Linked DNA regions of Caenorhabditis elegans. The protein of the gene in region 2 interacts with the protein of the main gene of each other region in a pairwise test. Each region holds a gene or a part of one and is shown on either strand. Other genes may lie near its edges. The genes, in order: reps-1 and M03A8.3.

Region 1 (7,140 bases), on a different chromosome or scaffold from region 2:
TTTCCAATGTTTTTTTCCAGAACCGCACCGACGCTCTGAAAGTTGAATTCGATGGCTCCAACACCAAAACCAAACTCATCGATTTACTGGAAAAAGCCAAGTTGACGCCTGGATTAAGCCCCAGCGCCGCCGGATGTGGAGATCAAAAATCGATTGACGAATTCGGAGAAATGTGGAAAGCCTATAGAAATAGCGAGGAAACTGTCGAAAAAACGCGGGAATACGGTCGTCAGATGAAGAAATTACTCGGAATTCAACAATAATTTACTGTTTTTTTTTAGTTCTGCTAAGATTATTATACATTCGTCACGAATGTGTAATAATTTTTTTTCTCGAAAATTTTTTGTTTTTTTTTTGTTATTCTAGCAGTTTTTATAATAGATCCCTCAAATTCTGTCAAAATTTGGAATTTTTTCCAAATTTTTAGCCGGATCTGTAATAATTTTTTTGTCCGAATTTTTTAGATAGTTCCCATCTTTCATGTTATTTCATTTTTTTTTGGAAAAATTTATATATATATATTTTCCAATTTTAAAAAATAGTTATTTTTAATGTGTGTAAAAATCAATACATACTTTATGATTTTTTTTTTCAAAAAAAAAAAAGAAGATAGTGTAATAGATTAAATTATCACAGAAAATAGAAAAATTGATGCTTATTTTAAAAAATTACAACATAGGTAAAAATGAAATATATATATGACATATCACAGAAATTATGAAGAAATATGCAGATTTTTTAGTTTTTTGCGGGGAATCTGGGGGAGAAATTGGTGGGAAATTCGAATTTTTGATAGAAAATAATTAAAAACTTTTTTAGAAGTTAAATTTAATTTCGGGAAATACCTTTTTCTCAGAAATTTTTGAAAATTTGCTCTAAAATGGGCAAATTTCATGTTTTTTAATGCGAAAAACCAGAAAAATCAATAAATTTTCCATAGAAATCGATAAATTTTCAGAAAAATCGATAAATTTTCAGAAAAATCAATAAATTTTCAGAAAAATCGATAAATTTTCAGAAAAATCAATAAATTTTCAGAAAAATCAATAAATTTTCAGAAAAAATAATTTTCCATAGAAATTGATACATTTCGAATTTTTTTGTTATTTTCCTAACCAAACGTAATAAATCTTTAAAAATTCTATTTTTCCAGCTAAAAATTGAGTTTTTTCCAAAAAAAAAATTTTTTCCGGAAAATTCGAAATAAAATGTGTTATTTCCTAGTTTTTCAAGCCGAAAAAAATTATTTTTTTCCTATTTTTCCTCAAAAATTCGAATTTCCCATCCATTTTTCCTCCACCGGGGATATCATTAAAGTGTAGAAGAAGAGCACGCAGTTTTGGATCTCTCTTCAAATTCCTGAATTCGTATTTCCAATTGAATCCGTACTTGAGCCAACCGTGCTCTTTCGGCTTCTAATTCCGAATTTTGAGTCCTCAAAGCTGTACAACGTTCCTTCCATCGTTCAATTCCTTGCCCATCAGTTGCCTGAATCTCTTCTCCAATTAAATCGTCGATTTGATGGCCGATTTTCGAGAAAAAGCTCTTCACATCTTCCTCAGAATAGAGTAATTCTGTAGTTTGTGTTGATGAATCTGTTGTGGTAATTCGTTTTTCCTCTTCGATGACTCTCTGCAAAAATATTGTGAATTTTTGGAGATTTTTCAGTGAAAAATTTGAAAAATTTGAAGAAAAATGGTTAAAAATGAGTATTTTTGAATTTTGGCGCTGCTAAAACTACAAACTACAAGTAAATTTTTAGCAGCCCGCCCAAGAAATTAGCAGCGCCCAAGAAATTAGCAGCGCCCAAGAAATTAGCAGCGCCCAAAAAAATAGCAGCGCCCAAAAATTAGCAGCGCCCAAAAAAATAGCAGCGCACAAAAAAATAGCCAAAAATTGTTTAAAAATCATATTTTTGTGATTTTCAACCTGTTCAGAAAATAAAAACTACACTAATTTTCGATTTTATCGCAATTTTGAAAAGTTTTTCTTAAAAATTCGTTAAAACGAATAATTTCAAACTTTGGGCGCTGCTAAGACTACAAACTACAACTAAAAGCTTTCCCTTAACTTACCGGTAGAGGTGACGGTGTGATTCTTTGTGGAATCGGCGGTGGAATACTGTCCGGGGTGGCTGAAAATTTGCGGAAATTGGGAATATTTTGATTTTTTCTCGAAAATTGAAAGCAATATATTTTTTGAAAAATTCCAGTTTTTTTAAAATTTTTTTCGAATTTCTGCCCAATTTTTCAGTCTCATACCAGGAAAAGACGCAAAAGTAGTCGTAGTCGTTGTAGTACTAATCGATTGAGCTGTCGGATCGGAATGTGATGACCAAAGTGATAGGGTAGTTGGTGGTAGCTGGGATTCCGCCGAGGCTTTTGTCTTATTCAATGCAATCAATTTCAAGTCAAGACTTGCACTTCTGTTGTGTCCACGTTGTTGTTGTTGTGGGCGGACAGGTGGAATTGGTGGGGGTCCTGAAAATATGGATTATTGATTTCGGGCGCTGCTCTTAGATTGCAAATACTACTAAATATTGAGTGTTGCGTGTTTTAATGAACTTACTTAATACTTAATACTTATTAATACTTATTTAGGTAATTAAATAACTAAGTTACTAACTACATACTTACGTAGTTAGTAATTTAATTACTAAGTTACTAATTAAGTACTTATTTAGATGATGATTAAATAAGAAAATTAGTAGTTAAAAACTCACTCTGTTACTAATTAAATACCCACTTAGTTAGTAATTAAATACTCACTTAGTAGCAATTTAATACTTCCTTAGTTACAAATTAAATAACTACGTTACTGATTAAATACTCACTTTGTTACTAATTAACACTAACAGGGTTAGTAATTAAATACTTACTTAGTTATTTAATTACTAACTAAGTCACTAATTAAATACTTCCTGAGTTATAAATTAAATAACTATGTTACTAATTAAATACTCACTAAGTTAGTAATTAAATTCGTATTGAGTTAGTAATTTCATAACTAAGTTTCTAATTAACTACTTACCAAGTTATATAATTAGCAACTCAGTAAGTATTTTAATTACTAACTAAGTCACGAATTAAAAACGTACTTAAATAGTTATTAATTAAATAATTAGTTACTTAGTCAGTATATAAATAACTATGTTACTGATTAGAAAACTAGGTTTTCTAAAACATTTGAATCGAAAACTATTGTAGTTTTTGTAGTATGACTGCTATTCAACTAGCAATTTTTCGAATAAATTATTATTAGTCAATAATTTAAACTTTTTATATTGTGTTCACACATTTGAGAAGTATAATAAACACTACAACAATTTCTTCAATGAATCCAAACTTACCCAGTGGACTCTTAAGTGCTAACAATGCAGAATGCTTGATAGCTGTTGGCCTACTGTCCACTAATAATGGCGGTGTATCCGAGAATTGTTTGATGATTGGCTGGTTTGCCCACTGGAATTGGAAAAATTCGAAATTAAAAAAAAAACGTCGTTAATGTTTTGAATGATGATACATATTCAAAAGTCAATTAAATTATTTCAAAAACCCCCACATTTTTCACTGGCCCATCAGCTTCTACATGTCCTGCACCGGCGGGACTAGGCGTCGCCGCAACTGTAGACGGAGCCCGTGGCTCTGTAAGTGGTGGCCGCGCGAAACCGGGTAGCACATCAGGAATCGGAACTTCTCCTTTCACTTTCAACACTACTAAATGCATCGCAATCGAGAATTCGTTTAAATCCAACCATCCGTCTTCATTCACATCGGCCAGCGACCAGATTTTCGATAAAGAGCTCATATCCAGCGAGCTTCTCTTGAAAAACGCTACAATTCGTTGATCGGCTCCGCAAAGGGCTCCGCAGAGGTCTGCGGCGCCTTGAGTGGTTTTTATTAAGTGACGGAAGCATTTTGTGTAGTATTCCTGCTGTTTTTCAGTGATTTTGAAGAGAGAATCCGCGTTGGAATCGGCTGAAAATTGGGGAAATTTGGATTTTTTCGAGTTTTTTAGCTTTAAAACCGAAATAATTTCGATTTTTGCAATTTTCCCTGAGAAAATGTGCTTAAAAATAGAAAAAATCGATTTTGGCGCCGCTAAACGGAAAAGCAGCGTCCAAAATTGTGTAGTTTGTAGCTTTAGCAGCGCCCAAAATTGTGTAGTTTGTAGCTTTAGCAGCGCCCAAAATCTTGTAGTTTGTAGTTTAGCAGCGCCCAAAATTGAATTAGCAGCGCCCAAACTTGTAGTTTGTAGTTTAGCAGCGCCCAAAATTGTGTAGTTTGTAGTTTAGCAGCGCCCAAAATTGTGTAGTTTGTAGTTTAGCAGCGCCCAAAATTGTGTAGTTTGTAGTTTAGCAGCGCCCAAAATTGTGTAGTTTGTAGTTTAGCAGCGACCAATATCTTGTAGTTTGTAGTTTAGCAGCGCCCAAAATTGTGTAGTTTGTAGCTTTAGCAGCGCCCAAAATTGTGTAGTTTGTAGTTTAGCAGCGCCCAAAATCTTGTAGTTTGTAGTTTAGCAGCGCCCAAAATTGTGTAGTTTGTAGTTTAGCAGCGACCAATATCTTGTAGTTTGTAGTTTAGCAGCGCCCAAAATTGAATTAGCAGCGCCTAAAATTGTGTAGTTTGTAGTCTAAGCAGCGCCCAAAAAATTCACTCAAAAACCTTCAAAAGTGGTTTTTTTAAATTAGTTTCATCTGTTTTATAGCGGAAATCTCTTCAAAAATGCGAAAAAATTTGAGAAAAATCGAAAAAGGTTATATTTTCATTAAAACTACTCATTTTTGAGGATAATTTTGCACTTTTTCCTAATTTTTCTGGATTTTTCACCGTTTTTCAGCTTAATTTCCACGTTTTTGCATCAAATTTGCCGATTTCGAGCTGAAATTCTTTATTTTTCAAAATAATCACCTGGACTCGTGTGCTTCAGACGTCTCGGACTACTAATAATATCGGCAGCGACTTTTTCAAAGTCTCCATTCGAAAAATATTGCGATTTTTTGTCGTTTTCTGTCATGGAAATTGATTTTTTCGCGGAAAAGCAAATAAAATAGTTGGTGCACGAGAAATGCGCCAGCGCACTGGAGATGCGCAAAGGGGGTTGACTGGCGCGATTCTCGTGCCGGCAAATTTATTTTTTCGTTTTGAAACGATGTTTCAGCTGAAAAACTCAATTTTCACAGATTTTTTGGGTAAAAATCAGTTTTTTAAAGCAAAAATTAATTAAAAAAGCGTTAAAATCTCCTATTCATACACCTAAAACGCTGAAAAATATCCATTTCCTAGTTGTATAATTTGTTTTTCAGTTTTAAAGTGGTTTTTCATGGATTTCGGGGTTTTTACGGGTGAAAACTATCAAATATCGGCAAGATTCAACCGATTTTCGAGCTAAATCTGAAATTTTTGCGAAAAATAATGAAATTCAGCCGGAAAATCGTATTTTTAAGGTTTTTTTTGCCCCAAAATTCGATTTTAACAGCATAACAATTATTTTTTCCAGGTTCTGATGCCCCAATCGTCCGAAATCCCGCAGATTCCTGAAAAAGCCCGAAATCTCACAAAAAGAGAGCTGAAAACGCTGAAAAATGCGCTCGGGAAGCAAGGATTAACGATGGAACAGCACGAAAATGCTCAAAAATCCACAAAACCCTGCGAAATCCTTCAAATCGACACTTTTTCGATTGATAATTCGAATTTAGAAGACGGCTGGTACGTTGGATATGGCGTCGAGTACAATGGCGTCGGAATTTCGGCCGCCGGGGGGGCTCCAGACAGCTCGGCGAGCAGTGAATCCGGTGATCTACCGCCGGCTGAAAATCGAGAAGCCGGCGGCGGGGAAAGCAGCGGATTCGATTCGGATCCACCGACTGATGATGATGATGATGAAGCACCGCAAGAGCTGCTGGAACGGCGAGAAAGTGATGATATTAGTGATAAAGGACAGCTTTTGTATGGATTGGACAGTGAATTTTATGTTGATAAGGCGCTGAAACCCACAAATGTCGAATTTCACGATAAAAATGACACGAAAAGCTTCAAAACTGGCGAATTTGTGTAAGTTTCGAGGAATTGAGCCCCACGTGGAAACTACAAACTACAAGTTTTGGGCGCTGCTCAAGCGATTTCCGCTGAAAAATCATAAAAATTCCCAAATTTTAACGAATTAAACAGAAAATTCCGTCGAAAAATGCGAAAAAACCGGCAATTTTGGTTAATTTTGAGCGAAAATGTGATTTTGGGCGCTGCTAAACTACAAACTACAAGTTTTGGGCGCTGCTAATTCAATTTTGGGCGCTGCTTAGAATACAAACTACAAGTTTTGGGCGCTGCTTAGACTACAAACTACAAGTTTTGGGCGCTGCTAACACTACAAACTACAAATTTTGGGCGCTGCTTAGACTACAAACTACAAGTTTTGGGCGCTGCTAATTCAATTTTGGGCGCTGCTTAGACTACAAACTACAAGTTTTGGGCGCTGCTAAACTACAAACTACAACTTTTGGGCGCTGCTAATTCAATTTTACGCGCTGCTAAACTACAAACTACAAGTTTTGGGCGCTGCTAACACTACAAACTACAACTTTTGGGCGCTGCTAATTCAATTTTGGGCGCTGCTAAACTACAAACTACAACTTTTGGGCGCTGCTAATTCAATTTTACGCGCTGCTAAACTACAAACTACAAGTTTTGGGCGCTGCTAACACTACAAACTACAACTTTTGGGCGCTGCTAATTCAATTTTGGGCGCTGCTAAACTACAAACTACAACTTTTGGGCGCTGCTAATTCAATTTTGGGCGCTGCTTAGACTACAAACTACAAGTTTTGGGCGCTGCTTAGACTACAAATTACAAGTTTTGGGCGCTGCTAACACTACAAACTACAAATTTTGGGCGCTGCTAAACTACAAACTACAACTTTTGGGCGCTGCTTAGACTACAAACTACAAGTTTTGGGCGCTGCTAATTCAATTTTGGGCGCTGCTTAGACTACAAACTACAAGTTTTGGGCGCTGCTAACACTACAAACTACAACTTTTGGGCGCTGCTAATTCAATTTTGGGCGCTGCTTAGACTACAAACTACAAGTTTTGGGCGCTGCTAATTCAATTTTGGGCGCTGCTTAGACTACAAACTACAAGT
Region 2 (5,666 bases):
CAAAAATAAACAGTGTTTTTTCGTACTTGTAAAAATATTTATATTTAAATTCACAAATGCCGTGGTTTAACACTTTTTTGTCAAACAAAAATTCAAATTAAAAAAGAATGATTTACAATATATGTTGAAGATAAATTACGCAGTTTTTGATCAAATTCCAGTTTCAATAACACAATTTCTAAATCATAACAACATATATAAACGGCATAAGATAACTACCCACGAATGCAGGAAAATCTAAGATCTTTGTCTGTGTTTATAAATAATTGCTCGAGTATGGGTTACGAAACAAGCCATACACAAGAAAATTTGGTGGAATTTCATTCACATAGCGCGAACACGATTTCAAATTGTAGAAGTGAAAAAAAAAACGAAACAAAAAATTGCCAAATATGACCAGAAGCTGTCGCAGGTCTCAGGTGACTCAAACGTGCGTAATAGTTCAAGGCTTTTTTGTGTGCGTAGTTATGACAGTTTTTTTTCTATGAAAAATTGTTGATTACTTTACAATTTGAAAACAGGTTACCTAAAGTGTGGATCTACGTTTTGGTAGAAGAAAAACAATACAAAAAAGTAAACAAGGCGGTAATGCATGTTTTTCTGTATAATAGGCTGAAAATTCAAGAACCGGATTTTGTCAATATTTCAAAAACAGAAATGAAATGTAAAAATTCGTTTTATAGTTCACTATATTATATTGAAACTTTAAAATGAAGGAAAAATATGAATTTGCAAAAAACCAGAATGCGTGGCGACAGGGAAAGGGCTGAAATGAATTAAAAACTTGAAGAAGGAGTACATAAAAATAAAGTCGATAAAGCAAGTTGAATTTATCTATTCATCAATCTTTTGTGTGCGTAGTACATTCGTTGGCATTGAACATTTTGAAACAAGAAGCTGACGAAGTAAACGCGGAAAGGGAAGAAGAAAATAGGAGAAGAAAATCGGAATTGAAATTCAAATTACAAGTCGGTGTGACGGGTGTAAATCTTCTGCAAATAATATTGAATTAGAATTGTGAGGAAGACGTTGTTGTTGTTGTGAGAAATTAAGTTGTGTGAAATTGAAGAAAGTGGGTGACGGCAGCAAGGATGTGAGGGAAAAAAGTGGAAGAAAGCTCATACATTCTCAGACGTCACCGAATCCATATCTTGGAACGACACGCTTTTCGTTGGTGAGAATTTGTTTTGCTCGAGCAATATTCCTTTCGGCAGTTGGACTCTGAAATTGTCAATCATAAATCTTCAATGAATGCCAGATGTTTTATTTGATTTTTCTGTCTCTCTCCCGCATTTTTGATTTCTAGAATTTCATAAGACAAATTATTTCAGATAGATAACAATATGAACAAAGTTTATCCACTTCTAACAACATCATACTATTTTTACAGAAAAGTCAAATAGCACCAGTAGAAGATTGGCGAAAACCACTTCTTTAGTGAAAAAGATCTTTTTTAAAAATGATTAAGAACCGCTAGCTCCTCTTTAAGAATGTGTGGTAATTCACAAACCTGACAAAATCCCTGTCCGCTGATTCCTCGAAATCCGTCCGAGACTCATTCTTTTTCTTTTGCAAAAAAGAAATCTTATGTCTCAACATTTCCATTGACGCGTTTCGTCTCAATTCGTTTTTCACAACTCTGTTCACAAATTCGGTTTCATTCAATTGCAGGCTAGATACTGAAGTGTCTGTTGAGCCCTGGATTTTTGAATAAACGCCGCCAGAGTCCACACTCTCCATTGTTGAGTTGTTACTGAAAACGGAAATTGAATTCTGAACACGGAAATGCAAAGTACCTGAGCCCTGGGCTGGTGTTATTCACGAGTCTATTGGGATGAAAATAACGATTGAAGCGGCAAATCGTTTTTGTCTGAGGGGTGCTGAAGTCACAACTAAATCGAATAAAACTTCTGAAAATTAATGCATTATATTTTGTATCGCAGAATTACACACCTCAAGTGTTCCACGAAAAGAATGGCATCTCCAGTGGCAAATTCAAAAATTCCCAAATTTTCAACTCCAAAGCCAACGCAATGTTCCCCCGTTCCAACCCTACAAAACATATAACTTGGAATAAAAACCTCTCTAAATAATAGTTTTACCATATCAACGTCTGGTATGGAATACAATGCACGTTATTCGGACCACTGATTTGAAGATGTTCAGCAAACTTTAAATTGTAAACCCCTTCTGTTTTTTCTCTACCGTTCACTTGTTTCAGTTTCAGCATTGTGTATGTTTCTGCTGAAAAAATTAAATAGTGTATACCAAAAACCAGTTCTGAAACCAATCAATCAACATACGAAATTCGAAGCATTCCTCGTCCTCGGTGGGAGAATCCAATGAAGTGCTGGGGGCAATTGTGACATATTGCAGCTGTAAGGTTTTTTTCAAGTTTAAGTTTGTTAGTATGGCAGTTTCAATATTTTTTTTCTAAATTTGTCATTTTTGGTGAAACTTCATAAATAAATTTGCCATTTTTTAAATTGCAACGTATTATTCAAATAATTAAATGTTAGAGGCAAACATTGAAATTTTCCAATTTCTTCTTCTTCTTCTGCTTTGCAAACAGTGGTGCAACCTTCGCAACCGGTTGAGAGGTGTCTAGGGTGAAAGCCACCTGACGCGCCATCAAACATTTCTGACTTACGGACAATGAAGCATTGGAAGTGACATTTAAATTCACAAAATTAAAGAATGGGGGGTCTTAATGTATGGAAAATGATTTACGGGAAAACCATGTTTAAAATTTGTTATTTTGCAGGAAAGGGTGTCTTTTTTTAGTAAGTGCTAAAGATATGCAACTAGTATGAGCCATAATAACATCGTAAATAATTAAAATAAAATAATTAAAGAACTTTATATAGTTTAAAAACTTGCAAAAACAAATTAGAACTATGCTGCTCTAAATGTGAACGCATTCTGAAGAAAAATTCAATTAATTAAAAAACACGTTGGGGCTCTAATAACTATACGAACATATTTTCAAACCCTTAACACCAACCTTTTTTGGAAAACAAATTGCGCTAAGAACATCGATAATTTTCTGCAATTCTTCACTGGAAAATTGCACGAAAGAGTCATCCTTATATTGTACTTTTACAAAAGAGGCTCCTGTATCGGTTTTTGCCGGTTTTAGTGATACCACATTTTCTAACAAAACAGTTTTTGCAGGCTCCGAGTGCTTCTTTTTCCCGTCACTTTGAAAAAGTTCAATTCTAGCTTTGCCCAGAGAATTTTCGTCGAAGAAACTCGCGATGTAGGATTTCCATTTCTGAAATCTATTTTTTTGAAAGAATTTTTAGCGTAAGTATATCCAATGCTCATGCTCAAATTTCGTAGTTGAAGTTTTCACTATTTTTTAAATTACAGTTAAAAAAGCGCCAATTCAGTTCTGATCATCGTTTGGAAAACAGACTAAAAAGTGTCTTAAAAGTTTGTAGTTTTTTTGAATTTTTAGTTAAACTATTTGAGGATTTTGAAATATTATGAGTATTATTACACAACAAATCCACGGAACATAGTTGATCCCAACAATTAGTTAAAGTAAACTTAATTTAATACAACTATAGCATGATTAACTTACTTTTCCTATTAATTTATCTTGGTACAATTGAACTTCTGTTGTCAAGAGAGGCTCCATTGATTTTATGTATCTCGATGGAAGAAAGTTGGAGAATGCCTTCAAAGAGGAATTGAAATGAAGAAAGAACAACATTGAAAAGGTGTGTTTGTGTACAGAAAAGTTCAAAAGGGAGATGAAACGAGAATGAAAAAAACATGAATTGAATCAGTAGTAAAACCTATAGTTTTTAATTTCAAATTTCGAATTTCAAATTTCAAATCATAAGCCTCCGAAAATGCTCAGACCTATCACGCAAACATTAAATCGCGAGCTGTCAAACAAAATCACGACACTATCACGCACATTAATACGGACACAGGCGACTAAAAATGTAAAAATCTGAATCGAAAACTTTTGAAAAAGAAGAACAACCGATAAAATACAATTTCCTAACGCAGAGCCCGAAACGGCATCCCTTTAAGTGAGGCAATGTTCCGCGTCCTCTTGACTTGAGAAAGATAACACTAGAAGATGGAGAGTTGAAGACCGTATGCCATACCTGACAGATTATTTGTATAGAGTACATAATTTTAGGATTAGTGGTGAACTTGGACGATTGCGGCATGTTCAGTCTCGATGGTGGCAGATTTTGATGAGTTGTGGGGTCCGATAAAATGAAAATGAAAGGAAACCAGTGAGAGCTAAACAGTACTACCACGTCGAATCTATTTGCATTACAACCACTCAGATTCCCACCAATTTTTGTGACAAACATTCGAAAGACACTTGTTGCACAGACATACATACAATGATTGACCGTTCGTGTTTGATGGTCTCGGGTTGATAAGAGAAAAAAAGATAATAAAGATGAGCTCTTTTGATTCAAAGAGAAGATTAGAAAAGACTATCACGGAAATAGGTCTAAAAATGTTTGAACGCCAAATCAAAATTTTTGGTAATATTTCAAAGTTTCTATGATTGGAGCAAAAGTTTTTTTCATTATAATCTAGTAATAAAAAAGCGAAAGCACAAAATTTCGTTACTAAAAATGCGATGTAAATATGGAAAAGCACGAATAGGGACGAAAGCTGGGCATTCTTCATAAATTGATTTCTTGACATTTTCTTGAGTTTTTGGAACGGCTTTTCTTGATCTCTTGATTTCTTTTGCCCATCTCTATTAGGGACATAGCCAATTTTCAAACCCTTCAGACCATATGATTGGGAATTTTTTTGAATAATCAAAGAAGGCCAAGATGAAAAAAAACTTGTATTTTACTAAACTTGAAAATACAGAAAAAATAGTTCACAATATGTGGTTAAAATACATAAAATCCGTTTTTCTGCTTATTTGAAATTTCTGGAGTTTTTATTTTTGTATGCACTTGTCAGTTTAAAGTGCACATAAACGCAACAAAAATCAATCAGTGCAAGTGCATAAAATCTGTCACCCTAAATTGTACTCATCAGGTTTACAGCCTGAAACGATTACAAATTTACGGTCATCAGATCCGTTGAAACATAAAACCAATCGAGAATCTAGACAATTTGATCATAGTTACACTGTTAATGTGCTTGGAAAGAAAGCAAAAAACATACATATGCAATTGAATAGAACACCTTCACAAGGAAGAATATAGAGAGTAGAAAGTATGGGCAAAAAGGTTTTGAATTTCATTTGGTTTTGCATGTCAAAAAGAACGGATTCACTGCCGACGCCCTCCAAACTTGTTCCGTACATTAACATGCTTTCAAGACGGCAACTATATCACTGTTCTCATTGGAGCGTGCATGATCGAAAAAAACGGAAATGGAAGTTTAAAAAGGGTATCTAGAAAAATTAGCAAATTCTATTTCGACGGCGGCTTATCAAAGACCACTGCTCAATTATTGACTGTTCGGTTTTAATGGGAGGTGTTTTGAGATTGAACGACGAGAATAAGCAGAAAAGAGACAAAATAAACCGAAAACACACGGGAAGCGAAAAGAAGAACAAGGTGGAAAACGAATCAAATGGGCACAACTAGCCATAAAAGCGGTTGGTGCGGGCTGTATCAAGTTGTATAATTTATAGAGAACGAACATATACATGTGTTTTCATG

The links.
Region 1: the proteins of M03A8.3 (region 2) and reps-1 interact in a two-hybrid assay, tested with the Caenorhabditis elegans proteins (one large-scale study listed by BioGRID).

Annotation. Positions count from the first base shown.
Region 1 is NC_003283.11:18,985,353-18,992,492, forward strand, and holds reps-1 (REPS (RalBP1-associated Eps domain-containing protein) homolog), read right to left. Parts: upstream 5,149-7,140; 5' UTR 5,017-5,148; coding exon 4,911-5,016; intron 3,978-4,910; coding exon 3,562-3,977; intron 3,462-3,561; coding exon 3,350-3,461; intron 2,481-3,349; coding exon 2,262-2,480; intron 2,135-2,261; coding exon 2,076-2,134; intron 1,633-2,075; coding exon 1,312-1,632; 3' UTR 622-1,311; downstream 1-621. Other genes in the region: mrps-35 (Small ribosomal subunit protein mS35 mitochondrial conserved domain-containing protein), read left to right, coding at 21-263; Y39B6A.37 (Structural protein), read left to right, coding at 5,506-6,053.
Region 2 is NC_003284.9:6,798,704-6,804,369, reverse strand, and holds M03A8.3 (TLDc domain-containing protein), read right to left. Parts: upstream 3,683-5,666; 5' UTR 3,644-3,682; coding exon 3,587-3,643; intron 3,275-3,586; coding exon 3,005-3,274; intron 2,377-3,004; coding exon 2,304-2,376; intron 2,245-2,303; coding exon 2,103-2,244; intron 2,053-2,102; coding exon 1,954-2,052; intron 1,911-1,953; coding exon 1,797-1,910; intron 1,754-1,796; coding exon 1,511-1,753; intron 1,222-1,510; coding exon 1,125-1,221; intron 993-1,124; coding exon 963-992; 3' UTR 666-962; downstream 1-665.